4 linked regions of the Rattus norvegicus genome follow. The protein of the gene in region 2 interacts with the protein of the main gene of each other region in a pairwise test. Links are inferred from orthologs where the notes say so. Each region holds a gene or a part of one and is shown on either strand. Other genes may lie near its edges. The genes, in order: Zfp496, Arr3, Gnmt and Dvl2.

Region 1 (6,234 bases), on a different chromosome or scaffold from region 2:
GACGTTGCCTTTCAAGTCTGCCTCCCCCATTCTTGGCAAGAATAAAAGTCCTGCTCACTTTATGGCCGCCATTCTGTCTGATCAATGAGGGTGGGGCGGGGAATCATTGTGACAACAGGGTTTACAAGTGTCATCGGTACTTCACCCACAACTTCCGACAGAACCCTGGCTGTTACAGAATGTGGTGCCTTTCTGTGGCTTCTAGTGCTGCCTCAGGGCCGGATCACCTAAACTCCTTCATTTCAAAGACCACTTTTGCTAGCATGTCTGACCCACCTGACTTCAGTACAGCTTAGAAGCGATGCTGGGCCCCGCCCAGCCCTGCTGCCTTGAAGCTGCTGCTCTGATTTGGATTCCCGTGGCTCCAAAGACCACAGGTCTGTTCACTATTTGCCCTTCCAACGGCCAGCAGAGTGCACAGATGTGCCCCGGGATCTGAATGGGAGCTTCAAACTGCAGGTGTCTTGTAGACTCTCGGTACACATTTCCTGAATAGCCACAGAATGAAGCAGACAGCATCAGTCTTCTGCACGAGGCACCTGAACACAGAAAGGCCATGCAGGCCTTAGATCACCTGACTGGGCCTCGATGGGCATGATTTAACCCAGGTGCTCTGATCCCAAACCCAACCTACTAGTCCCTAAGCCAGGTCCTGTGCTGAAGAAGCACAAAACGAAGGCACATTGGAGCCATTGGCAGCTACCAAACCTAGAGAGGGGACTGGAATCCTGAGAGCTTCGAGCTCAGGGGGATGAACTAAAGGGAAGGTGTGTATGTGAAGAAAAAAAGAATCCCATGAAGTGTACCAGCCACCTCTTGGCCCTGCAATTTTACCTGCGTGAGGGCTCCAATAAGCAAGACTCTTAGAAGGAATTCAAATATTCAGCGGCCACCAGGCGGAGCTTCAACAGCAGCCCTTCAGGATGCACAGCTGGGCTAATCACTAGGCTTGACTCCCCCAGTGGGGAGGGGGCGGTCCTTTGGTCACGCTAGGCTGTGCTTCCTGGCTGGTGTTCTTGCTAAGGGACTGGCATGAATTTGTAAGTCTAGGTGGCTCCTGTTGCTTTATGCCTTGGTGACCCTTGGGTGACCTTTGGGTGACCCTTGCTTGCTCAGTTCGGCTGCACTTAGAGAACATATCCACTTGGTTCACCTCCTAACGGCACAAAATCTGGACATCTGACTCAATACCTACTAGTCGGAAGTAATCATCCGAGTCATTAGAAGGAAATGGACGCACGAAGGCCCACAAGACAAAAGCAGTCGGCTGGTCGTGGGGTATCTCTATCAAGTCATCTTCTTTAAGGGAACTGACTTCCTACCATGATGTACCCTTGCAAGAGAATGCGGGGGAGGGGGGAATCAGCACAGTAGCTTGCTTCTAGGCACTTTCCTTTGACAGTGCGGTTCCATTGTCCAGCCCTGGAGAATAAGGGAGGATTTGGACTCTACTTAACACAGGGTAGATGCAACAGAAATCGATTCCAATGCTAGAGCTTCTCACTCTCCGTGACTGAAGTCACTCTGTCCATGCACTAAGCCAGCGTCAAGCTCCCTGATTCACACTCTCAGGATTGGCAGCCTTCTCTCTCCGTACTCACCAGGACTGTCCTAGTGCTCAGAGGGACCCAGAGTGCTACAGAGAAACTGTAGATCATCTCCTCGCCACGAAGGCGCGGGCCGATGCTTCGGCAAGCACAGTGGATCGCCGGGTCTGCATTTCTCTAGTCGTACTGATTTGGGTGACTCTGGCAGCGTTGGCTTTGAGATGGAATTTTGGCTGGAAGGGGTTGGGGCGCAACAGCACACACGGGATGCGGGTGGTCACAGGGAGATCCCCTTACACCTCCTCCCTCCTCCTCCTCCCAATTCTGGCATTTCGCCAGCGCCGCCAGACCAGCCCTTCCCTGCACCCACACGAGAGGAGCAGGGAAGAGCGAAGCCCCAGGCCGGCCTCCTTGGCTGGTGGCCGCGCGAACTGGCCCCCAGCGCCCCGGTCCCGCCGGGGCGCGCGCGCATCCCGAGCGGACTACGAAGACCCACAAAGCTAAAGCCCGGGCCCCGCGCCCAGGCCGGCGAACACGGAGCAGGGCGGGGCGGGGCGGGCCAGGCGGGCCGGGGGTGTCGGATGTCACCCCCCGCGTACACCTCGGCCCGGAGGCGGGGAAGCGAACCATTGAGATGAGGAGACCTCCTCGGTCCTAGAGCGGTGCAGGAAGTGTCCCAGGGGAGGGAGCCGGAGGGCTCCGGCCTTTCCTTTCCGCGGCGGCCCGGCCTGCGCGGCCCGCCAACCGGGACGCTGCGCAGCGGTGAGTATACCGCGGCCGGGTTTCCCATGCCCCGCTGCCTGAACCCGGATCTTGCTCCCCACTTCCCGCGCTCTGAAACCCAGCCCCGCGCCTGGGTCCTGCTCCCTGTTCTCCTCTTCCCGCGTCCGGGCCCGGATCCCTGCTCCCAGAGCCGCGTCCTCATAGGTGCCCTCGGGGATGAAGCCATACGATTATCTTTCAGGCGTCTCCCTTCGCTCCCAAGCCCAGCTGATGCATTCTAGAGGATCACGAGACAGGGTTGGCCTGGCCAGGGACCGAGTCTGGCCCATGCATTGGAGCCGCCTTGGCCAAGACACCAGAGAGACCGAGCTGGAAGGTGAGGATCTGCTCCCCTGCTGTCCCCAGGCTTCGAGGTGAAGAGCCAGCGAATCTGAAAGAGTAAGCGACAGAAACCCCCATAGTTCTCCTGGCCTAAAACACCCTCCTCCTCCTCCTCATTCCTTCCCTGGGATCCTGCTCCTTCAATAACTGCTTTGGGCAAGCCCCGCCCCTGCGGGAGCCCTCCCCTCACTAACGGTAGTTCATTCATAAAGCTTCCGCTCCCGAGGCTCCTGCGCGCCAGGTGCCAGAGTGACAAAGAGGCACACGCTTGTCTGGCCTAGGACTCTCTGAGAGCAGTTTCACATCAGAATTGAATGCTGAGGGTGGGACCCTGGGTACCCTATCCTACGTGCAAACCTGAGCCATTCAGGGCCCAGCAGGTGGGAGATAGTGGGCGGAGGAAGCTGAAGATAGCGGGCGGGGCCCAGACTGGGTTCTTAATACCGGAGTAAGACGAGAGTATTCGCGGTTCACAGCCTGTTGCTTTCTGAGACTCTCTTCGGTTGTCTGTCTTTACTTCGGAAATCGAAGGAATACAGCAAAGTTAGGGGTTCCAAGTTGTTCGGTCGCTTGGCGGCTTTCTGTTATCGCTTGTCTTCCTGCAAAGTGGTGCTGCCCCGTTGGGAATCTCTTCCAGGTGAGGGTGTAAAGGGCCAGTCAGTGACCTTGCCTGGGGTTTCCAGAATCCTGAGAGCGGTTAGGTTAGAACCCTGTGTCTCCGATTGCCTTTTCTCAGAGTGTTCGAAAGTGTGGGTCAAGTGGAAGAGACCATGCTGTGGCTGGTGCCCCTGGTGTGTTTGCTGAATTTGTGTGTGTGTGTGTGTCTGTGTGTGTCTGTGTGTGAATCTGTGGCACTCGGAGTTCCCAGAGAACTGAAAGTCTGGCCATGACTGCCTCCCTCAGGATCAGGAGTTAGGTACATTTTTTAGATACTAAAACATAATTACATAATTTCCCTTTCCCTCAGGATCAGGAATTAGGTACATTTTTAGATACTAAAATATAATTACATAATTTCTCCCTTACCTTCCCACCAACCCCTTTACTCACACACACACTTATGAACTCACTTGCACGCTTAACTACATAACAAGAACTTCTAAAAAATTTTAAGATTTTTTAAAATAATGTGTATGCCTCTGTGGACATCTTTGTGTGGGTCTGTGCGCTTGGGTGTGGTGCCGATGGAGGCCAGAAGAGGGTGTGGGAGACCCTGGAGTTGAACGTACAGGATGACTTGAGGGGTGGGTAGTGGGAAAAATAGCGTGTCCTCTTAACCACTCTGCTGCCTCTCCGACCCCAAGAGATTATAGTTCCCGTGTTGGACCCAGGTGGGTAGAAGGCTTGTCATAAAGCACTATTTGGGGAAGAGACACAGTTTTGGTGCACTAGCTGCCATTCTGTCCGTGAGCTGCACCCCCCAGGCCTAGCACAAGTGTTTTTAAATACAGTGTTATTTTTCTCAGGTAAACCTCTGTGGCTAGCTCTGTGTTCCTTCTGTGCCTGGGGGTTTTTGTCCTTGCCAATGCCCAGTGAAAGCTCTCTTGGGCTTTTGTCCATGCATCCTGTCCTTGGCAGAGTGACATTGTTCCACAGTGGTCTTCCATGACTCTTCCCTTACATATTTTTTTTTCTTCAGTTCAATTTGTGAAGACCTCAAGAACAGAGACAGTGACTTTGTCTCCAAAGCGTCCAGATTATCGCCGCCTGGGGCTATATCCTCCGGGAGGACCTGCCCATCAAAGGTATCACAAACCTTGGTTACACATAGCTGTCTGTGATTCTCCTGGGGCCCTGGAATCCTGTTGGAATGACACCACTTTTCTCTCAAATTTACTGCCTTTTTTACTGCCACGTGTTAGGGGACTGCACATGGAGTGATGGCTTGTGGGAAGGGTCATCTTTCTTTGTCACACCAACACTTCTTACATTTCCCAGGGATTCCTCCAAGGGCTGGTCTCCCATGGGCTCTGTCTAGCACCCCCTCAGAAATAACCACAGGAGACCAGAGCATTGAAGCCAGCGATTTCTGTTTGGAAATAGGGTCGTCTTCTGCCGCTGACCCTCCATCAAATCCCATCATGCCCACAGCCCTGTGCCCACGAGTCTTGGCTCCAAAGGAAAGCGAGGAGCCCAGGAAAATGCGGAGTCCTCCTGGAGAGAACCCCAGCCCTCAGGGTGAGCCTCCCAGCCCAGAGTCCTCTCGACGCCTCTTCCGCCGGTTCCGCTACCAGGAGGCCGCAGGCCCTCGGGAGGCCCTGCAGCGCCTCTGGGAGCTGTGCCGGGGCTGGCTGAGGCTCGAAAGGCACACGAAGGAGCAGATCCTGGAACTACTGGTGCTGGAGCAGTTCTTGGCTATCCTGCCGTGGGAGATCCAGAGCTGGGTGCGTGCCCAGGAGCCTGAGAGCGGAGAGCAGGCTGTGGCTGCAGTAGAGGCTCTGGAACGGGAGCCAGGGAGACCCTGGCAGTGGGTGAGCACGGGGCATCTGGGAGAGGGGAGCCCTTGCTGACCCTGTGAGACTTCTGACCCCAGATGAGAAATTCTGTCCAGACCCAGTGTTTGGTTTCCTAAGAAAGCAAACATTACTCTCTATTAAGTCTAAGTTGAGAGAATTGTTACCTAGCAAGTCGGTGCCGGCAAGATCAGAAAGGGAGAAGGCCTACCCAGCCCTGTGCAGAGCCTAAGGGCCGGCTTTATCATCCTCCTCTACTTGGGCCCTGATCTGCTTTCTCTGGGATTGCAGCTCAAGCACTGTGAAGACCCCGTGGTAATTGATGACGGTGATGGGCCTGCGCCTCAGGATCTAGAACAAGAACGAATGTCTGCAGAGTCCCAGAGCAACCCTGATGCCCTGCCGGGGGCTCTAGCACAGGACCCTGGGCTCCTAAGCAGATCGCCAGGCCAGCCTAGTGAAGACCCAGGTATGCGGCTTGTAGTGTGCTTGGGTGTTGACTAAAGTGATGGCCTTTTACACTCTCTGACCCACGACCTATTACTGTATTCTGGGTCTTTCCGTAGAGCAACCAACCCAGAGTCTCTTCTTAGTATGGAGTCCTCTCAGAGGGAAGGCCTGGGTGAACAGATGCTGTGAGATTATATGGTCTTCTTTCTTTGAGTGTGTTCTCAGTGGAGACAGAGGTAGTCACTGTGGGACCAGGACCTGATCTAAGCATGGCTCTGTCTTCTGTCCTCTCAGAAACCACATTTTCTTGGCTAGGTTACCCTGCAGCTGTAAGAAATCTAAAATCCCCTGGGAGAGCACAGTGACCTCTCCTGCAGATGGCTGCAGTGCCCTGCGGCAGGGTTTGAGTATCTGTTTAAACCTCCAACAGCTGCAAAGAGGGGGGATGTGTTACACTCAAAACCTGAGCCACCAGTCCTTTGAGTTGTAATAGGTCACTTCTTGGTTCCTTAGAGTTTGGTTCCCCAAAGCCCCTCCAGGCCCAGGGACCCCGTATTCCTCTTATAAACCTTACTTACCATTACAACAGTACTTTTAATTATAAAAGGAAAAGTGCATTCTTGAGATTGTTTTTAGTTATTTCTGGTCTTGAATCTGTTCGGTGAGTTGGAGGCACAGCT
Region 2 (4,890 bases):
CAACCCTCCTAATGTTGCAGCTGTTTACTATGGTTCTTGATGTGGTGATCCTCAACCATGAAATTTTTTGTTACTACTTCATAGCAGTTTATTATTGTTATGAATTGTAATGTAAATATCTGTGTATTTTGATGGTTTAGATAACCCCTATGAAAGGGCCTTTCTAATCCCACAGGGTTTATGACCCACAGGTTGAGAACCACTGTCTCAAAAACAAACCACCAGAAGCTTAGGGGTGGAAGAAAATAGCTGCGATGGAAAGCCAAATACAATGTCTGCCAAATTAGGCAGAGATGATCTAAGCCATGGACAGGGAAATGGGTTTTAATGCCTGAATTCTAGAAGTTTCCAAGTCAGTTTTCAGCACCTAAAGTTTATGGTAAGGATCATAGCACAGTTAAGGTGATGAATCAAATGTCAGCTAGGAACCACTTCTAGTAAAAATGAGGAATTCTGACCCCATGGGCATCACTTAAACAAAGGAGGCACTTTTGGCTAAAGTTATTTCTGTTTTCCATTACCACTTAAGCAGAAAAGTGGGCCTGGCTTTTAAGAGTGAGTGAAACTTGCTTCTCTGCTTTCACACTCCCTACCCCAGAAAAGCTAAGAAAAAAGATGTGCCCTTTATTTCTACAGTGGAGGTGAAGCCATTTAAGGAAGGGCAGAAACCATACTAGAATAGCTGTTTTAGTATATGGACAGTGAATTAAAAGCAATTTTAAAGGTTCAGAGGCTCAGATGATTTTGTGCTTTCAGGCTGCATGATAGGGGGTGGTGGACGAACTTTGCCACCTCGCCATCATAGGGTGAACTACGGTTATCTAAAGGTAAGTAGTAGTGGGAAACTAGAGACCTTGCAAAGGCTATGTCATAAAGAGGAATGGGTGTTCTGTTTCTCACACTGCAACTGGTTTGGGCACTCGTCCCAACAACCATCACATTGAGGTCTCCAGATTATTCTTCATCCTTTTCTGCAGAGACTTGCCTAGGCAAAGGAAAAGGAAAAGAACCGGATAGTGAAAACCTGTAGTTAGTGGATGAGGTTAAATCCTTACATATAATCATGCTGGCCTAGGGCCTGGAACACTGGAAGCCTTGAACCCATGACGTTTCCAACACTGGGTTCTGATGCCTCGAGTAGACAGCACAGTAGCACCTTCATGTGAGGATTAAACTTTAAGTGTGTAGACCAACAAACCTTACCATGTGTTGGTCATGGTACACACCACATTGATGACATCACCTCTGTCTCCTCATACATCTAGTATGTACTTGTCTCTTTGAAAGGCCAGAGGCTCTCAGAATCCTGTCCCCTGCCAGCACACACCCTAGCTGGTCAACAAAAGACTCAGTCTAGAGGTAGCCTCCTCCTCTCATTCCGTGCTATTCATAGCTCCTTATCTTAAAGCCCATCTTAGACCAGGAATAGGAACCTGACTTTGCACAGAGGTCGGTATTTGTGTTTCTTATTAGTCTCTAGGACATGGCCTCTGGCCTCATTCCAGGGCTCCTGGCCTCACCTTAAAAGGACCAGAAACATTCCTTGAACCGAGCAGGCAGAAATACTGTAACAATGATTTTCTGTACTTGAACCTGTACCACCTGACATCACCATGTTCTCCTCCAGTAGCAACCGTTGACAGTTGTCATCATAGCCAAGTCTAGGAGTGGCCACACCCTTTTGGCTTCCTCTGTGGGGTTCTTTACAGTGTAAGAACCAGGTACTGCTAGACCAAAAGTAATTACAAGAGTAAGTCGTCAGGCAGGGACTAGGGTAGCTGAGGCCAGAGAGAAAAGGCAAGTGACTCAGAGGGACCACATAGGGGCAAATTACCTAACACAAGATACCTAATCAAGCTTGTAGGTAAGGGTGGGAGAGGTACAGGCGCCTGCAGCAGAGATCATTATCTGGAGTTCCGTGTTCTCCCAGAGGAAAACAAAAGGCACAGAGATCACACCAGCCATGTCCAGACAAAACCTTTTATTAGAGTGTTACAACAGGGGCTTCCACACAGAATTATCAGAGATGACTATCGGCTCTTAACTGTGTCTGCTGTTGGAGCTTTCTAGCTTTGTGTCTGGCTGTTCTGCTGCATAAACTCTTCGACAACTATGTCCTCCGAGCTTGCAGGAGCAGCAAAGGGGAAAGGAGAGTTATCAAACCCCTCTCTGGGCTTCCTCCACATTCTTGATTCTAGAGAGGTAATCACTTCCCTGCTTCTCAGCCTTCCCCTCCTTGCCCCATGGGGAGGGCTTGTTTCCCTTCTGAATCTGTCTAGACAATGGTGTCAAGGTGCATTAGAAGGGAAACAGTGGAGCATGGGGTACAGGGAAAGGATTAAAAAAAGATGAGGATGATGTGGAAAAGGAGGACCCCAAGTCACAGAGAAAGCACAACCAACCTAGTTTTCCAGGGAGTGAGGGATCACAAGAACAACTTAACAACAGAATGGGATTTCGGAGGGAAGAAAAGAGAGAAAGAAAAATGGAAAGGATGGGGCGGAATAAAATTTCCCAGAAGAGCAGCAAGTGAAGGGCAGGGAGGCTGACAGGACGGAGGGCTGTGGAAAGCACCAAACTGACATGAAGCTAAACCATGGTTCTGGTGCACAGTCATGAAAGCAACACTTTGAGGAAGCTTTAAAAATTCCATTCTAAAACAGCAATAGGCAAGGGGGAGGGGTGGCATTTCCAAGCCTCATGCTGACCTACCTGGTAGCCACTGTGGCAAGCATGGAGGGGATGGGAAATGGAACTGAAGCTCAGAAGCGTCTGTGCAGATCCATGATATTTTCCTTCTTCCCCCTCCCCCCAGTCCTTCCCCTCCCCCAAATGTTCCTTGAAAAGCTAGACATCCAACCTGCCTATTGTCAGTCTATCTGAAGCCACTCTTTTTTTTTTTAAAGATTTGTTTATTCTATAGAAGTACACTGTAGCTGTCTTCAGAAACCAGAAGAGGGCATCAGATCGCATTACAGATGGCTGTGAGCCACCATGTGGTTGCTGGGATTTGAACTCAGGATCTCTGGAAGAGCAGTCAGTGCTCTTAACCTCTGAGCCATCTCTCCAGCCCTGAAGCCACTCTTTTTTGAGAACTGCTTAGCCCCAAACCCACAGGATAATAGTTCCTGGGAGCCTCACCTGCTCTCTCACCGTGAGGTGGCTTTGGATGGATCAAGATCAGGGGGAGCTCCACACCAACATCACTGCAAGCATCCCAAGGTGGAGTTGCTGATGTTCTTAAAGGACCCAATCAGCAACCTTCCTTCAGTTTTCCCAATCCTCTCAGGCCCTCAGATTCTTCTGAGGGCACCTTTGGTCTCCTCCCTGTCCTGCCTCGGACCTCTCACCCTAGCTTCTCACCTGGCTGGCAGACCTCCTAGAATGCTGTGAATAAAATGACACCCCAAATTAGTAGCTAAAATGGGGAGGAGTCAACCCAGTTTTGCTAGGCATAAGGTATCAGAAGGCCAACTTAGTAACAGAATGGGACTTTAGCAGAGAAAGTGACTTGGGAACTTAGTCTGGAAAAAGAGGAATACCTTTGAATGGGTCAATCCAACAGGGAGAAAAACAAGTAAGAAACTCTTGGCTCCCAGCCCCTGCCCAGACCAAATGGAAATCCTCACTTACCCCCCATAGGACACCATCAAGTTGACTTTAACTTTGTAGGACACCAGGATCCCCAGTAGCTCCTTGTTCATTCCAGGTCGAAGACTTGACATTGTAGTATTAATTTGCGGTGTTAGGAGTATAATTGAATTTACCTCCCCCCAAATCCTTCCCATGCTTTCCTAGTAGCATGTTCCATTGCCTTTGTCGTTGCCCAAAAGATATCCCAGGCTATAACTGTTTCTACCCAATTGAGATGACAGTTTTCTTCCTAAAATTCCATTTGATCATGTTACTGTCTGTTTGAGGGCCTAATTTGTTATTCTGCTTAATTTTCAGGAGCCAAAGAATCTAACCTTATCTACTTCTCTCTTTTCTGCCTGACTGCCAAACACCTAGAGAACAGCCTATGCCGACTTGTCTTCCCATCATACTCCTCAGAGTGCCTTCTAGCATCTTCCCGTGCCATGTTCCCTGTCTGAAATTGTCCTTCTACTATTGGCATTTAGATTTTAAACACTTTTCAAGATCTAGATCATTCTATCTCCTCTAAGAATCCCTCGCCAGCTCTTTTGGCTTTTAGCTTCTATTGGACTCATAATATAAACCACATGCACCAACACTTAACTGTTGGATTACATTTACATTCCTCTTTGTTCCTCATCCAGGTCATATATTTACTAAAGGAAAATATTGTCTTAAATTTCTTTGTATAGCCACATTATATTGCATAGGAATGAGCATTTAATAGGTGCTCAATAGAAACCTGCTGATGGAAAGATGAGATGCCGAAAGTGGAAGGATCTTAGGGTAGTCTTTTGGTTGATTTGGGGGTGCTGAACCCTTTCTACAAAATAATGCTATTTGGATAATTTCCAAGGCTATTGCTATGAATAACAACCTGTAGATACTGGATTGATCAGGCATGGGGAGAATTGGTCATTTATGATTGTAGATGGTAGACAAATTGCTTTGGTGAGAAACACACTTAATGCTAATCTGAAGGCATAGAGACAAATGAATGCCATTGAAGAATTTTATCAATTCCTGCCATATAATTGTCATTACATATTCTCCTTTTCCACCATCTTTCCTTGCCCAACCTTCTACTCTAGTCTACCTTCTCTAGATAGTAACTGTTGTAGAGATCACAGTGTTTAGAGCCAGTTGGCATAAAATAGAATCCTCTTTGCTGCGTACTTATACAATCTTGAACAAATTCCTTGCCTTTGAGCCTTGGAGTCCTTATGTGTAAAATTGAATAACATATCTGGCCGT
Region 3 (6,079 bases), on a different chromosome or scaffold from region 2:
GTTCAAGCTGGAGGCCTCTGTGAGCCTGATGAATGTGCTGGATTGCTGCCCGCCTCAGCTGACCGGCGCAGACCTCTATTCTCTCTGCTCTGACGCCATGATGACCGCCCTCAAACGCAGGGTCCGAGACCTAGAGGAAGGTGAGCCCTTGCCAGCACTAGACGGGAACCAAGAAACTAGGGGAGACAGTCCTGGAATTCCAGAGGAACGGCTGAGCAGGAGGCACCTCCCCAGGTTGCTCTCCTACCTAGGCATAGATTACAGCTGGGGTCAGGGCTCTGGCCTCACTGTTCCTCGCCATCCCTCAGGGCTGGAGCCTCGGAGCTCAGCACTGTTGCTCACCATGGAGGACCTGTTGCAGGCCGCAGCCCGGCTGCAGCCCTCAGTCAGCGAGCAGGAGCTGCTGCGATACAAGCGTATCCAACGCAAGTTTGCTGCCTGCTAGGAGCTTCCTGCCGCCTGCAAAAGCCCACCTGGCTGGAGGTAGCTGCCACCTGCCACCTGAAGGCTGCCTCCCTCCAGGAGATACCCTGAGATCCCTAGTGGGAGGCCCTTGTGCCCAGGAGAAGAGGCAGGGCTGGCAGCTTGGGGGCGTGGCAGCCTGGAATGGGCATTGAGGCCCCAGTTCTCAGACAGAAAATAAAGTCTATACTGCCCCCTGCTGGTCTTGTGAGAGGTTGCGGTGCAAATGCCAAGGTTATGGGAAGAGTAAGGTCTAGGGAAGGTGGGATGAACACCACATTACTTCTGAAAGAAACACAGGGCACAGGATTGGCAAGGGAAGGCTGTATTGTCGACTCCCTGTTTGCCTGCCCCCCACATCTCTGCAATATCTGTGGTAGGCGATGGTCTTAGGGTGGGAGCCGGAGCCAGGCTCAGCCTGTCTTCTTGAGCACGTGGATGAAGTAGCAGGGAACGTAGGCCTGGCCGGGCCTGTAAGGCTTGAAGTCACCCAGGACGCTGTGCTGGCACCTGCCCCCAAAGGCTTCTTGGACCAACTCCGTGAAAGACGCCAAACAGTGTGGGTAGTAAGAGAGCCGAAACTTACTGCAACAGGGCCCCCAGCCAAATAATGAGGGCTGCTGGCCTCAAGTCTCCCCCACCACCACCTCTCCTGCCAAATCATGCCATACCTGAAGCCAGGAGCGCCATCTCTGCCAGCACCTGGCACCTGCACTGTGTAGTCCAGGGTTACCATGTGGGCTTTGTTGTTTACTGTCAGCACTGATGTCGTAATGTCCTTGGTCAGGTCACTCTGAGGGCAGTGGCATCAGCTGCATTAGCTTCCATTAGTCCACCATGGGACTTCTCCAGCTCCCGTCCCACTGGGGACCAGCCCAACCTTATAGTAGATGTTCTTCCCTGGGGGTGCACAGCCCGTGCTGAGGATGTAGTCGTAGTTGCGGTGGTCGATGACCAGCAGGCCCCCGGGCCGCACCATGCTTGCGATGTTCTTTAGCGCCAGCCGGTGCTCACTCTGGTCACCTGGGTGCCAGGCAGGGCCACAGACACCATCTGCTTGGGCACCCGCACCTCTATTCCTCCCACCTCCCTCCCAAGTGCCAGCACTAAAGAGGACAGGCAAAACGCAGGTCAGCCCTTATCACAGCAGCTGGCCAGCCGTCGGCGGAAGTGGTGGAGCTCAAGGCAAGAGCCACAGCCAAGGCCACCAGCTTACCTTTGCTGTCCGGCAAGTGAGCAAAACTGTTCCCAAGGCAGATGACAGCGTCAAAGCCATCTCCTGCTGGCACATCTTTGTCCAGAGTCAACCAGTTGGCTTCTTCAATGACTAGAGGCCGGGGGAGGAGTTCGAAGTTATAGCACAGCACAGAAGCAACCACCTCCACCCAGAGACACGCGGGGATTCATTAGGGACAAGGAGGGTGACATGGGAGAGAGCCATTGTTGGAAAAGCCAGCTCTCCACTCGGGCTTTTGTACGGAGGAGAGAGAGGATGCCGTAAACAGTGCAGGTCCAGTGTATTATGTGTACACCTCTGGACCCTGCTGGATGGGAAACCGAGACAGAAGCATCCATCACCTGAACCCAGCCCAGCCAGACCAGGCAGCACGGGAAAAATATAAAGAATGCTAGCCGTGTAGCTCAGTGGTCACCTGTCCACTTAGCATGCCCAAGTTCAAACCCTAGCACCAAAAATGGCACAAACCTGCTCTTAGCACCTGGAATCCCACTTTGATGTCAAAGCCTCCCTTTTTAGGAAGGTCAGAGGAACTGCACCTTGCCCTGAGGAAAACCAGCCAGCCCACCCTGCATGAAAGAGCTAGGGCAGACAGAAGAGTGGCCCTGGAGATGCATGCCCCAGGGGCATGGCTGGACAGACATACCCCACTTGTCAAAGGCTGGCTCCTTCCTCCGGTTCCAGCGCTCCTTCAGTGCGTATTTCAGCATCTTGTCGCTGGCATCCACACTCGTGACGCTAAAGCCCTCTTCCACCAGCATAATCGAGTCCACTCTGGATGAGGTCAGAGACCAGGGACTGAGAGGCCCAGTCAGAGGGGTCTGGGGACCCAAATGTGCATGACGTTTCCCCAAACATAACATTCCAGAGTCCTTTCCTCTGCTTCCTGTCCCAGGCCATCTATACTGACCTCAGACGACCCCTTAAGAATATTCCTTTTCAAGGGGTTGGGGATTTGGCTCAGTGGTAGAGCACTTGCCTAGCAAGCGCAAGGCCCTGGGTTCGGTCCCCGGCTCCAAAAAAAAGAAAAAAAAAAAAAAAAAGAATATTCCTTTTCAGGTAGCAAGTTTTTGAAAGGGTTTTTAGCCTGATTTAAATCATGAGTTCTGGGACAGCTGGGGCTACAAAGAGAGACAATGTTTCAAAAACAAAAAATCAAACTTTAATTTTATGTGTCTTGCCTAAAAAGTCCATCATGTGTGTGCCTCGCGTCTGCAGAAGCCAGGGGAGCGTGTTGACACCGAACTTGGGTCATCTATAAGAACATAAGCCATCTCCCCAGCCCCCCCCCTTTTTTTTTTTTTTTTGGTTCTTTTTTTCGGAGCTGGGGACCGAACCCAGGGCCTTGCGCTTCCTAGGCAAGCGCTCTACCACTGAGCTAAATCCCCAACCCCCCCAGCCCCCTCTTGTTAGAGATAGTATCTCATTATGTAGCCCTGGATGGCCTGGAACTCACAGAGACCCACCTATTTAGGCTCTCCCAAGTGCTGAGATTAAAGATATGTGCCACCACTCCTGCCAGCAACATTTTTTTTTAAGTTTTCAATGATGTCTCTATGTGTACATGTGAGTGCAGTGGCCCGCATGGCCAGGAGGGGGCGCTGACTTCCCCCTGGGATGGAGTTCCAGGCGATGATGAACGTGCAGTTGAGAACCTGGCGTGCTGGTGCTCCTGGAAGTTCTCTCAGTCAGAGGTGTCTCTGTGTGTCCTGTGTTGACTTTGGAGCGTGGGTCAGACCCTATCCTGGTCTATATCCTCTCCACCAAATGGAGGCCTTTTACCTCTTGGAAATGAGTTCCTTTAATACTGGTTGGAGAAAACCACTACTTACCTCATGGGGTTTTGTTACAGTTTGCAACACATGTACCCAAACTCCTGGCACAGCTCTTGGCTGTGCAAACGTGCCACAAATGTTCTGTTCACACTGCCAGAGGCCATCGCAGGAGGAACAACGCTGGAGCCAAGGATCAAGCTTGACCCAATGCTCGGCTTTTGCTGTCCCATGAGCCCTTCTCTGTTCACACCCGGGTCCTGAGTCTCCCTGGCCCCCTTCCCACACTGGTTCGGCAGATGCTCTCACCATGTCCATTCTACCCCGATGAGCAAGGACTCTTGACCCCCTAGTACTGCCTGCCAGGCTCCAGCCCACAAAGGCTGCCCCGAATGGCCTTCCTGTGGTGCAGTAGTCCTAGTCAAGCCAGCTCGTTTGGACTCACCCTGTGCCACAGGCCACGTCCAGCACCCGGTGGCACCCGTGCTGGCGCAGCAGCCCAAGCAACCACGCCTTGTACTCTGCAGTACGGCTGCGGGTGTCCCCGATGTACAGCTGCCACACACGTGCGGCCTCCCCATCCGCATACTGGTCGGGGATCCCTTCGGCCGCCACCCCCAGGGAGCGGGTACGGTACACGCTGTCCACCATCCTGACGGCGCTTGGCTCTCAGGCCACTAGCTCCGCACGCACTTATAGTCCTCTGGCAGGGCGGCCCCACCTGGCCAATGGCAGGTGAGCGCAGGGACACGCCCCTGCTGGGCCCTGGGCCAGGCAGGCTGCCCCCGCGGTGAGGATAGCTCAGCCTGGCAATCCTGGATCTGGTTTTCCCATAGTCAGATAGGTCAGATAGGACGCACCAGGGTGGCCAGGAGGAACCAATAAAGTAAAGCACCCCTACCTAAGTAAGAAAGGGAAGACGACTTTGAAATCCGCCCAAAGCAGAATTAGACCAGGCCCAGCACAGTAAGCTGTCTACATATCACACATAACATTTAGTGGAGGGAACACTCCACTAATCAGGCTTTGAGAAAGGTGGCCGAACATCCAAGTACAGGAGTACACCTGGAGATAGGCGTGTATCTCTCTAGGTGATAGCATCGGTCTCTACCTCACCGCTTGCGCCTCCTAAGGTAGCCTGGGCCTTCCAACCCACAGGCTGTTATACACTCTGCACTCTCCGAAAGCCTGGTGTAGTAAGGTTGAGACAGGAGGATTATTTGTGCTCAAGAATTGGAGAACCCTCTGGGAAACCTTGTAAGCCTGCTTTCCATGGGGGCGCCGGCAGGGGGAGAAGTTCAGGGTCAGGAGTGAAGGTCACCTAGTGTCCCAGCTCTGCCTGGCATCACTTCATAACTCTGGGGTCAATTTGGCTCATCCGCTCACTCTTTTTTCCCCACCAAGGACAAGATCCCAGCAGGGATAAAGCAGGTTCTGGAAGATGTGTGTGACCAAAGACTCAGATGCGGCAGGGGGAGGGGGGAGCCTTCCAGCCTCGCCCCCTCACTTCCAACTCCACAAAGATTAGTTACAGCAAGAGAAGCCCAGAGATGCCTCCCTCCCCTAGCCTTTCTGATGTAGGGAGAACCCCAGAGATGGAAGAACAACTACAACTGTGTGACCTTTTATTTTTATTTATTTTATTTATTGTATGTATGTGAGTCCACTGTCACTGTCTTCAGACACACCGGAAGAGGGCATCAGATCCCATTACAGATGGTTGTGAGCCACCATGTGGTTGCTGGGAATTGAACTCAGGATCTAGGCAAGAGCGATCATTGCTCTTAACCACTGAGCATCTCTCCAGCCCGATGATCTAACTTTTTTTATAATGTGTATAGTTGTTTTGACTTCATATATGCCTGTAGATGTCTGGTACCCATGGAGACCAGAACAGAGCATCAGATACTCTGAAACTGGAGTTACCAGCAGTTGTAAGCCACTGAACCTCCAGAGGAGCAAGTGGGTTTATTGTGTTTGTATTTTGTTTGTGAGACAGGGTTTCTCTGTGCAGCCTTGGCTGTCCTAGAACTCACTCTGTAGACCAGGCTGTCATGGAACTCAGAGATCTGCCTGACTCTGCCTCCCAAGTGCTAGGAATGAAGGCATGCATCACCCTAGCTGCAGATAGGGCTCTTAATGGCTGACCTATCTCTCCAGCCCACATTTTTTTAATTTTGTTAGCACAGAGCAATTGCAAATGGTTCTTTCCAGGCTCAGGCTCGGGGACTCAATGTCCCAATACACAGGTCTCTGACACTAGGCTCAGAAAGAGTCTCAAGGCTGAGTGTGATGGTGCATGCTTTAAGTCCAGTACTTGGGAGCTGGGGACAGAAAAGCTGGAGTTCAAGGTTGTTCTAGGCTACATAAAGTTCAAGGCAAATCTGCTACATCAGTCCAAAGAGCAGAGAGACTGGATTTAGGAATTTCAAGTAAATCCGATGCCATGCATTAAAACATTTGGGGGATAAACCTATCAACCCTAGACTTTCAAATCTCATCTGAACATTTTTTTTTTTTTAAGATTTATTTATTTTTATGCATAGCATTCTGCCTGCATATGTGACTGCAGGCCAGAAGAGGGCACCAGATCTCATTACAGATGGTT
Region 4 (6,296 bases), on a different chromosome or scaffold from region 2:
GAGAGAGAGAGAGCCAGCGAGCTGTATCCCTGGTTGGCCTCAAACTCATAGAGATCTGCCTGCCTCTGCCTCTCCATCCTGGTATTAAAGGCATATGTCACCAAAACTAGCTATGCCGCATGGCTAGCATGCCTCACCATGCCTGGCTCCTCTGCTTTTACAGTGAAGTAATCCCAGACTCTCCTTATTTTATCCCAAGACCCCCTCCTCCCCCACTCATCTGTAGAGGCACAGTGCCGCTAAAAAGACTTCTTCCCATTTGATCCAAACCTCATAGTACCACTCCAAATTCCCTCTGGGACAGTTCCCAACAACTGCTCCAGATACCTAACTTAGGAGTCTGGCTGGCAGGCAGCCTAACCGTCTCTGTCCTACACATCTGTCCCATAAAAGCCTCTGGTCCTCATGTAATCTGCTGCTGTTCCTCTGCATTTTAGTTCTCTCTAATTCACATCCAGAACCTGCCCAAATGTGTGGCTTTTGCTGGGTACAAACACACTAAATGCAACAATAATACCCCATGTGTGGAAAGCTCCCACGAATAGAGGAAGCTGGGCTTCCCATTTCCGGCTGCCTCACCTCACTAAGCAATCTGCTCAGCCTGAAAAATCCCAAAGCCCAGCCTCCCACAGGTTCCTGCAGTGGACTAGGCTTGTTCCTTCTCATACCCATGAGAAAGTGTCAATACCTATTCTATTCCACAGGTGTCCTGGGTGTGCGCACAAGCCCTCACCTTTGTAAGCATTAGCAAACACAGACGAAATGTGAGCCACAAACCATTCTTTCATATACACAATAACAACCTCACCCTCAAAGTAGAAGTTCTTGGGGGTGGGATGGGGGCTAGAGGATTGGCTCAGTGGTAGAGCACTTGCCTAGGAAGCGCAAGGCCCTGGGTTCGGTCCCCAGCTCCGAAAAAAAGAACCAAAAAAAAGAACCAAAAAAAAAAAAAAAAAAAAAAAAAAAAAGCACTTACAGTTCTAGCAAAAGGCCCAGGTTTGGTTCCCAGCACCTACCTAGTGGCTCACAACTATCCATAATTCCAGTTCCAAGGGATCTGACTTCTTTCTTCTAACTTCAGAGGTACTGGGCATGCATGGCACATAAATACATCTGTCCGATTAACTCCAACCTAATATACTCTGGGGGCTTGAGTATAGGCCTCATGAATACATCTGCTGTCAAGACAACACAGCCCTATCAGCACTGATCTACTCAGCATAACTCTTCCTAACATAAACCAACCTGGCATGGCCCTGTCTCCTCTAAAGCAAGCAATTTCCTATCACTATAATCTAGTCTATGAACTAGTTAGCCTCAATACTAAATGAAAATTACCAGTCACCCAGAATGTACCATGTGCTGTGCACCTAAATTAAGCATTCTGCACTATGATTATCACCGTGCCACAGATGAAGAAATCAAAGCACAAAAGCTAAATAAATTGCCCAAAATTATAATGTAAAAAGAAGAACTTTGATGGAAATCCAAGACAACTCCCTAGATCGCATCACTTTCTCAAAGTCGAACAGTCTTTAATGAGGGTCCAGTCTATTCAAGTAGCAGAGGGGGATGTGCTCCAACCCAGGGACTTTCACAGGTAAGAAGTCCCTTCCCTACCCAGGTGGTAGGTCACCTTTCTCTCCCCAGGACCCTACTATCCCTGCTTATAAACTCAGGACATCCCAGCCTAATGCAGTCTGAGCCAGGAGACACAGAAGGCTGTCCCAACAGCTACAACAACAGAAGGCTGCCGTACTCTACCATAATTACAGTCCCAGTCCAGCCCAGGATCACCCAGAACATCACAAATCACCCCAAAACCCAATCTTTTCTGGCATAGCCCCCAGTGTCTCCATACTAGCAGTCCTCTACACCAATATTGATTACAATACCCCGTTCTGCTGTGATGTAGTGGTACCACCAGCCTATCTGTCCCCATTTGTCCTGTCTTATAACATAATAAACCTAGGTCTGGACCAGGCATATTGCCACACATACCTAGTTCTAGCATTCTGGATGCAGATGTAGTGGCAGGACTGCTACAAGTTCAAGACAAGGCGGTATGTTCTAGTTAGCTTCAGTAACAGAAGGAAGTTCTGGCTTAGCAGTAGACTGACAGGCTCAGCAGAAGACTGGAGTTCAATTCCCAGCACACACAAAGTGGCTAGCATATGCGAACTCCTGTTCTAAGAGATGTCATGCCATCTACTGGATTCGGTGAGCACTGCATGCCGTGTGGTACACAACTATGCATACAGAACACCCAAAAACATAAAGTATCTTTGGTTTGTTTTGCTTTCAGACAAGGTTTTTTTGTGCAGTCCTGGCTGTCCTGGCGCTAGCTCTGCAGAACAGGCTGTCCTCTAATTCAAAGATCTGTCTGCCTCTGTTTCCCAAGTTCTTGGATTAAAGATGTACACACTACTACTAACTTTCATATAAAGTATCTTTTAAAAAATAAACAAACAAACAAACAAACAAAAAAATCCTCCAACTCTCCTCGGTCCCGGAAAAAAAAAGGTTCTGGCCCTAACAGAAAATAAGAACCCAGAAGAGTCCAGATTAGTACATGCTTTGCTAGAAAAATCTACTTCAAGACAGCCTAATATATCCCAGTAGAGCTCTCTCCGCATTATTACGGATTACACCGTCCCGAAATACTATGGAACCTAATTAATAAGCCTAACTAATAGCCTAAATTGTCTCACTATAGCCCAGTCTACATAAAGACACTGCATGCCAAGCATATTGGCTCACACCTGTTAATTCCAGCTCTGGAGGCTGAGGCAGGAACTCCGTGAGTTCGAAACCAGCCTAGGATACAAAGAATAAAGCCCTGCCTCAAGACAAAAGAACAAATCAAAACAAGCAAACAGAAAAAGAAATTACAAGCATCTCTATACACTCATGTGCAGACGTCTGAGAGCGTACCAACTTACCAAACGATAGATGATTCTAGCCTCAGCAGCTTAGAATAAACTCAAGCATCACTAATTTGCCTTTTGGCTAAAATCACGGGGAGAGAATGGCCAAACAAACCAATGTTCCCCATTTTTCCAACCTAAATTTCTCGCCTCTGGTTTGCTAAAATTCAGCCCGTTCTTCTATGTGTCCAAATATAACCGTGTTTGTCTTGGGATGGGCTTTCTACCTTAGCACAGTACAATATGCTATGCTCCACTACAGGCCTCAACATCTCCCAATCCACACCAGCACACCCACCGTCCTTCTCAGTCTAGGCCTCGCGCTTACCCAAAATCCTGATCCATAGACTTGAAAAAGTACTTAGCGCCCGCGGGCCGCTGCAAAACGCTCTTGAAATCGCCGAGCGTGATGCGCTCCGCCGGGACAGGGATCTTCACCAGGTAAGGAGTCTCTTCTTCATCCAGATGGTAAATCACCTTCGTCTCGCCTACACCACCGCCCCCCGCGCTGCTGCCCGCCATGGTCTCGCTCACGCGCTCCCGGGCTCAGCCGCCCACCCAACAGGACTAGGCGCCCCCGCCGCGCCTGCGCACACCCGCAAACTGACGCGCTAGCGCCGGCAGTGCAGGGCCAGTGCGGAAGACGTGTCCAAGGAGGATGGCGTGGAACAGCGGTCTGATCGAGAAGAGCCGTGTGGCGAGACTCAAAACCTAGACCCCACAGACGAGGGCCACTACCACCACGGACGTCGCGAGCAGCACCGAGGTCCCCGCCCACCTCTCCCCATGCCACGTGACCCAAGCCCGCCCACTTTGCGCAGCGGACTGTCCTTCACGTGACTTCCTTATGTCACGTTACTACAAGCTCCACCTAGACACTCACGTGACCACTGCCTTGAGCAACGGTCTTCAGCCCTAGACGACTCCGCCCCCAAAACGTGTAACACCCCCTCCCCCGCCAAGCACCTTAGCAAGCTTCTACTCTCTGGAATGCTGGCAACTGGCCCCCACTTTGCTTTACTCATCTGAGGCTCAAGGGACCTCAGTTAGCAACTATTAGAGGGGCGTGAGTTATGGGCTGTTAAGTGAGAATCTCAACTTAAGCCCTTAGTGTAGGTAGCTCCTAGACTGTACTTGGGATGAGAGAGCTGAAAGCTTCTCCTTTAGAGATTTGATTTATCGTGGAAGGTGGTGATGAGGGGCTTTAGACAGGGTCTCCTAGAGTCCAAGCCAGACATAGCCCCTAAATTTTCCACCTCTACAACTGTGAAATTACAGCCCTGGACTTAAGAGTGGGCTTCAGCCCCAACTCTACCCAAAGTTCCACCAGGTTTCCCAAAGATCCCCTCCCCAAACAGGACAACAAGGGCTGTAAAACACAAGAGCCCACTCTGCTTTATTTACAACACGTAGGCCGTCTGTACAAGCAGCCAGCCGATATTATTAAAAACAAGGCGAGTGATAATTGACACCTTTTTTGCTTTCCTTCCTCACTCCACCAGGCTTTGGTTCTCCACCTTTGAGCAACCTCGCTCAAATGGGGGAGCCCAAAATTAAAAATACATCCGGTGTAGAAGAAAGTAAATGGAAGAAAGAAGAAATGTGAGGAAGGGAGTGCTGTATTTACACTACAGTTTCATAGACAACTATCCCATTACAGCCCAGTTTGAGCCCTGGCCCTGAAAGTGAAAAGGGTGGAGGGTTCACTGGACAGAGATTTTTGTCTACAGATCCAGCCTCCCCTAACCCAATTGTAATGGGTCAATTTCAAGTCCACGGAGCAGGTAGGACACCTCTCCCTTGGGAATTCTGGCCCTCAAGTGGGGACACCTTCCTCAATCCAAGGGAAGGCTGGAGACTGAGGCTCAGTTCCCATGTCAGAAGTTCCAGCCTTAAACAGTGACGTCAGGGTTCTCCAGATTTGGGAAGACCCCCTAACCGCCGGGCCTCTGGCCGAAGTTCCTTGCATTTCTGGCAATAAAAGAAGTCAGGAACATTGGTCTTCTTAATCTTAGCACAGGAGAGGTGGATCCATGTCCCACAGAGGCTGCACTCGATCATGGGCCGCCCAGCAAAGGGCTTTCTGCAGTAACATGTGATCAGATCCCATGAGTCATCACCTGGGGGGAAAAAAGTCTGTTTAGTGTTCTGCTTCAAGGCTTAACTCATAACAGCCCCCAAGCCCATCACCCCAGCTTCCCATGCCGGGGCAGCCCTACCCTTCTCACCTGATTCTACCATGATGTCCTCATCCATGACCCGCATCTCTCCTTCACTGGAGCTGCCATCTCCATCTTGGCTTGTTTCTGTGCTGCCCGCATCTTTGCCTTCACTGTCAGTAGGGGGAGCCCCTTCAGGGTGCACTGTAACAGGGGGCCTGGGGGCTTCAGGGGGTGTTGGGAGCACAGGGGCTGGAACTCCACCACCACCCACCACTGTCGTCTCTTCCTCATCGTCTTCCTCTTCTTCCTCTTCCTCCTCCTCTTCAGAGTCTGTATCACTGGGAGGAGCCCTAGGAGGGCCAGGAGGTGGGAGTCTATCCCCCCGGTCGGCCTTTTTCAACTTCCGCTTCTTGCTCTTCTTGATTCGAGACCGTTTTTCCCCATCCCCAGGAGCTGGCCGAGGTCTCCGAAGCACCCCAAAGCCAGCCCCACCTCCTGGTCCCAACTTTCTATTCTTTCGGTCCTTCTTTCGAGGCTGGGAGAGGTCCCCCTGGGACAGTGGCACTGGGGTGAGAGCAGCAGGAGGCCGGGAGGTCAACGATGTGGGAGACAGTGGAGATGCCACTTTGGGCCCATCCAGATCAAACAGAGAGTCCTTGAGCTTCATCTTCTCAAGCAGAGTAGCACTATCAGGGGCCTGCAGACGAGAAAAAGTGGACCTTGGGGGTCCTGGCTGGGTAGGACCTGCTTGAGCTGCCCTTCTCTTTGATGATTTTGCTTTCTTAACAAAAGTCTGGATAGTTCGAAGGTCCGACGGGGCTGAGTCCCAGCCATCACTGTCTGCTGCACTCTCACCTCGTAATGGAGAGCTAGAGCCAGAAGCTGGCCAATCGCTTTCCTTAAAAGGAGGAAGAGACTAGGGTCAGCCGGAGTCTAGTGACAGCTCAGCCCTGCCACATATCCAGCACAAAAACCAGGAACTAGAAGTTTCCCGACCCCAAACCTGACATGTGCTGCTCTAACCGTATCTTCCCCCGAGGCCACAGCTGTACAGGATAACTGTGTTTCGGTATCTCATTTGCTAGGACACTCATCTCCCTCCAACTTACCTGGAAACACTTAGTTAACAGCCACTCAAAACCATTAAAAAATCTTAACCAACACTCCGAATCTTTGTTACTGCAGTTCAAAGCACTACTGCGGTTAT

Evidence for each region.
Region 1: the proteins of Arr3 (region 2) and Zfp496 interact in binary tests that used the Homo sapiens proteins (3 or more experiments, as listed by UniProt). The two-hybrid records come from large-scale screens. The link is inferred for Rattus norvegicus from reciprocal best matches to the Homo sapiens genes ARR3 and ZNF496.
Region 3: the proteins of Arr3 (region 2) and Gnmt interact in a two-hybrid assay, tested with the Homo sapiens proteins (2 studies listed by BioGRID and IntAct). The two-hybrid records come from large-scale screens. The link is inferred for Rattus norvegicus from reciprocal best matches to the Homo sapiens genes ARR3 and GNMT.
Region 4: the proteins of Arr3 (region 2) and Dvl2 interact in a two-hybrid assay, tested with the Homo sapiens proteins (2 studies listed by BioGRID and IntAct). The two-hybrid records come from large-scale screens. The link is inferred for Rattus norvegicus from reciprocal best matches to the Homo sapiens genes ARR3 and DVL2.

The regions. Positions count from the first base shown.
Region 1 is NC_086028.1:44,783,212-44,789,445, reverse strand, and holds the start of Zfp496 (zinc finger protein 496), read left to right. Parts: upstream 1-2,257; 5' UTR 2,258-2,309; intron 2,310-2,511; 5' UTR 2,512-2,708; intron 2,709-4,290; 5' UTR 4,291-4,396; intron 4,397-4,694; 5' UTR 4,695-4,732; coding exon 4,733-5,122; intron 5,123-5,395; coding exon 5,396-5,573; intron 5,574-6,234. UniProt on the Homo sapiens protein: DNA-binding transcription factor that can both act as an activator and a repressor.
Region 2 is NC_086039.1:69,749,377-69,754,266, reverse strand, and holds the end of Arr3 (arrestin-C), read right to left. Parts: intron 3,718-4,890; coding exon 3,634-3,717; intron 3,388-3,633; coding exon 3,364-3,387; intron 3,207-3,363; coding exon 3,142-3,206; intron 2,723-3,141; coding exon 2,713-2,722; intron 2,203-2,712; exon of another isoform or gene 2,125-2,202; coding exon 2,067-2,124; 3' UTR 1,967-2,066; downstream 1-1,966. UniProt on the Homo sapiens protein: May play a role in an as yet undefined retina-specific signal transduction. Could bind to photoactivated-phosphorylated red/green opsins.
Region 3 is NC_086027.1:21,750,329-21,756,407, reverse strand, and holds Gnmt (glycine N-methyltransferase), read right to left. Parts: upstream 4,127-6,079; 5' UTR 4,123-4,126; coding exon 3,917-4,122; intron 2,474-3,916; coding exon 2,346-2,473; intron 1,790-2,345; coding exon 1,679-1,789; intron 1,486-1,678; coding exon 1,343-1,485; intron 1,256-1,342; coding exon 1,134-1,255; coding exon of another isoform or gene 1,048-1,133; coding exon 876-1,047; downstream 1-875. Other genes in the region: peroxisomal ATPase PEX6, read left to right, coding at 1-445. UniProt on the Homo sapiens protein: Catalyzes the methylation of glycine by using S-adenosylmethionine (AdoMet) to form N-methylglycine (sarcosine) with the concomitant production of S-adenosylhomocysteine (AdoHcy), a reaction regulated by the binding of 5-methyltetrahydrofolate.
Region 4 is NC_086028.1:55,219,473-55,225,768, reverse strand, and holds the start of Dvl2 (segment polarity protein dishevelled homolog DVL-2), read right to left. Parts: upstream 3,484-6,296; 5' UTR 3,450-3,483; coding exon 3,256-3,449; intron 1-3,255. Other genes in the region: Phf23 (PHD finger protein 23), read right to left, coding at 4,833-5,047, 5,156-5,987.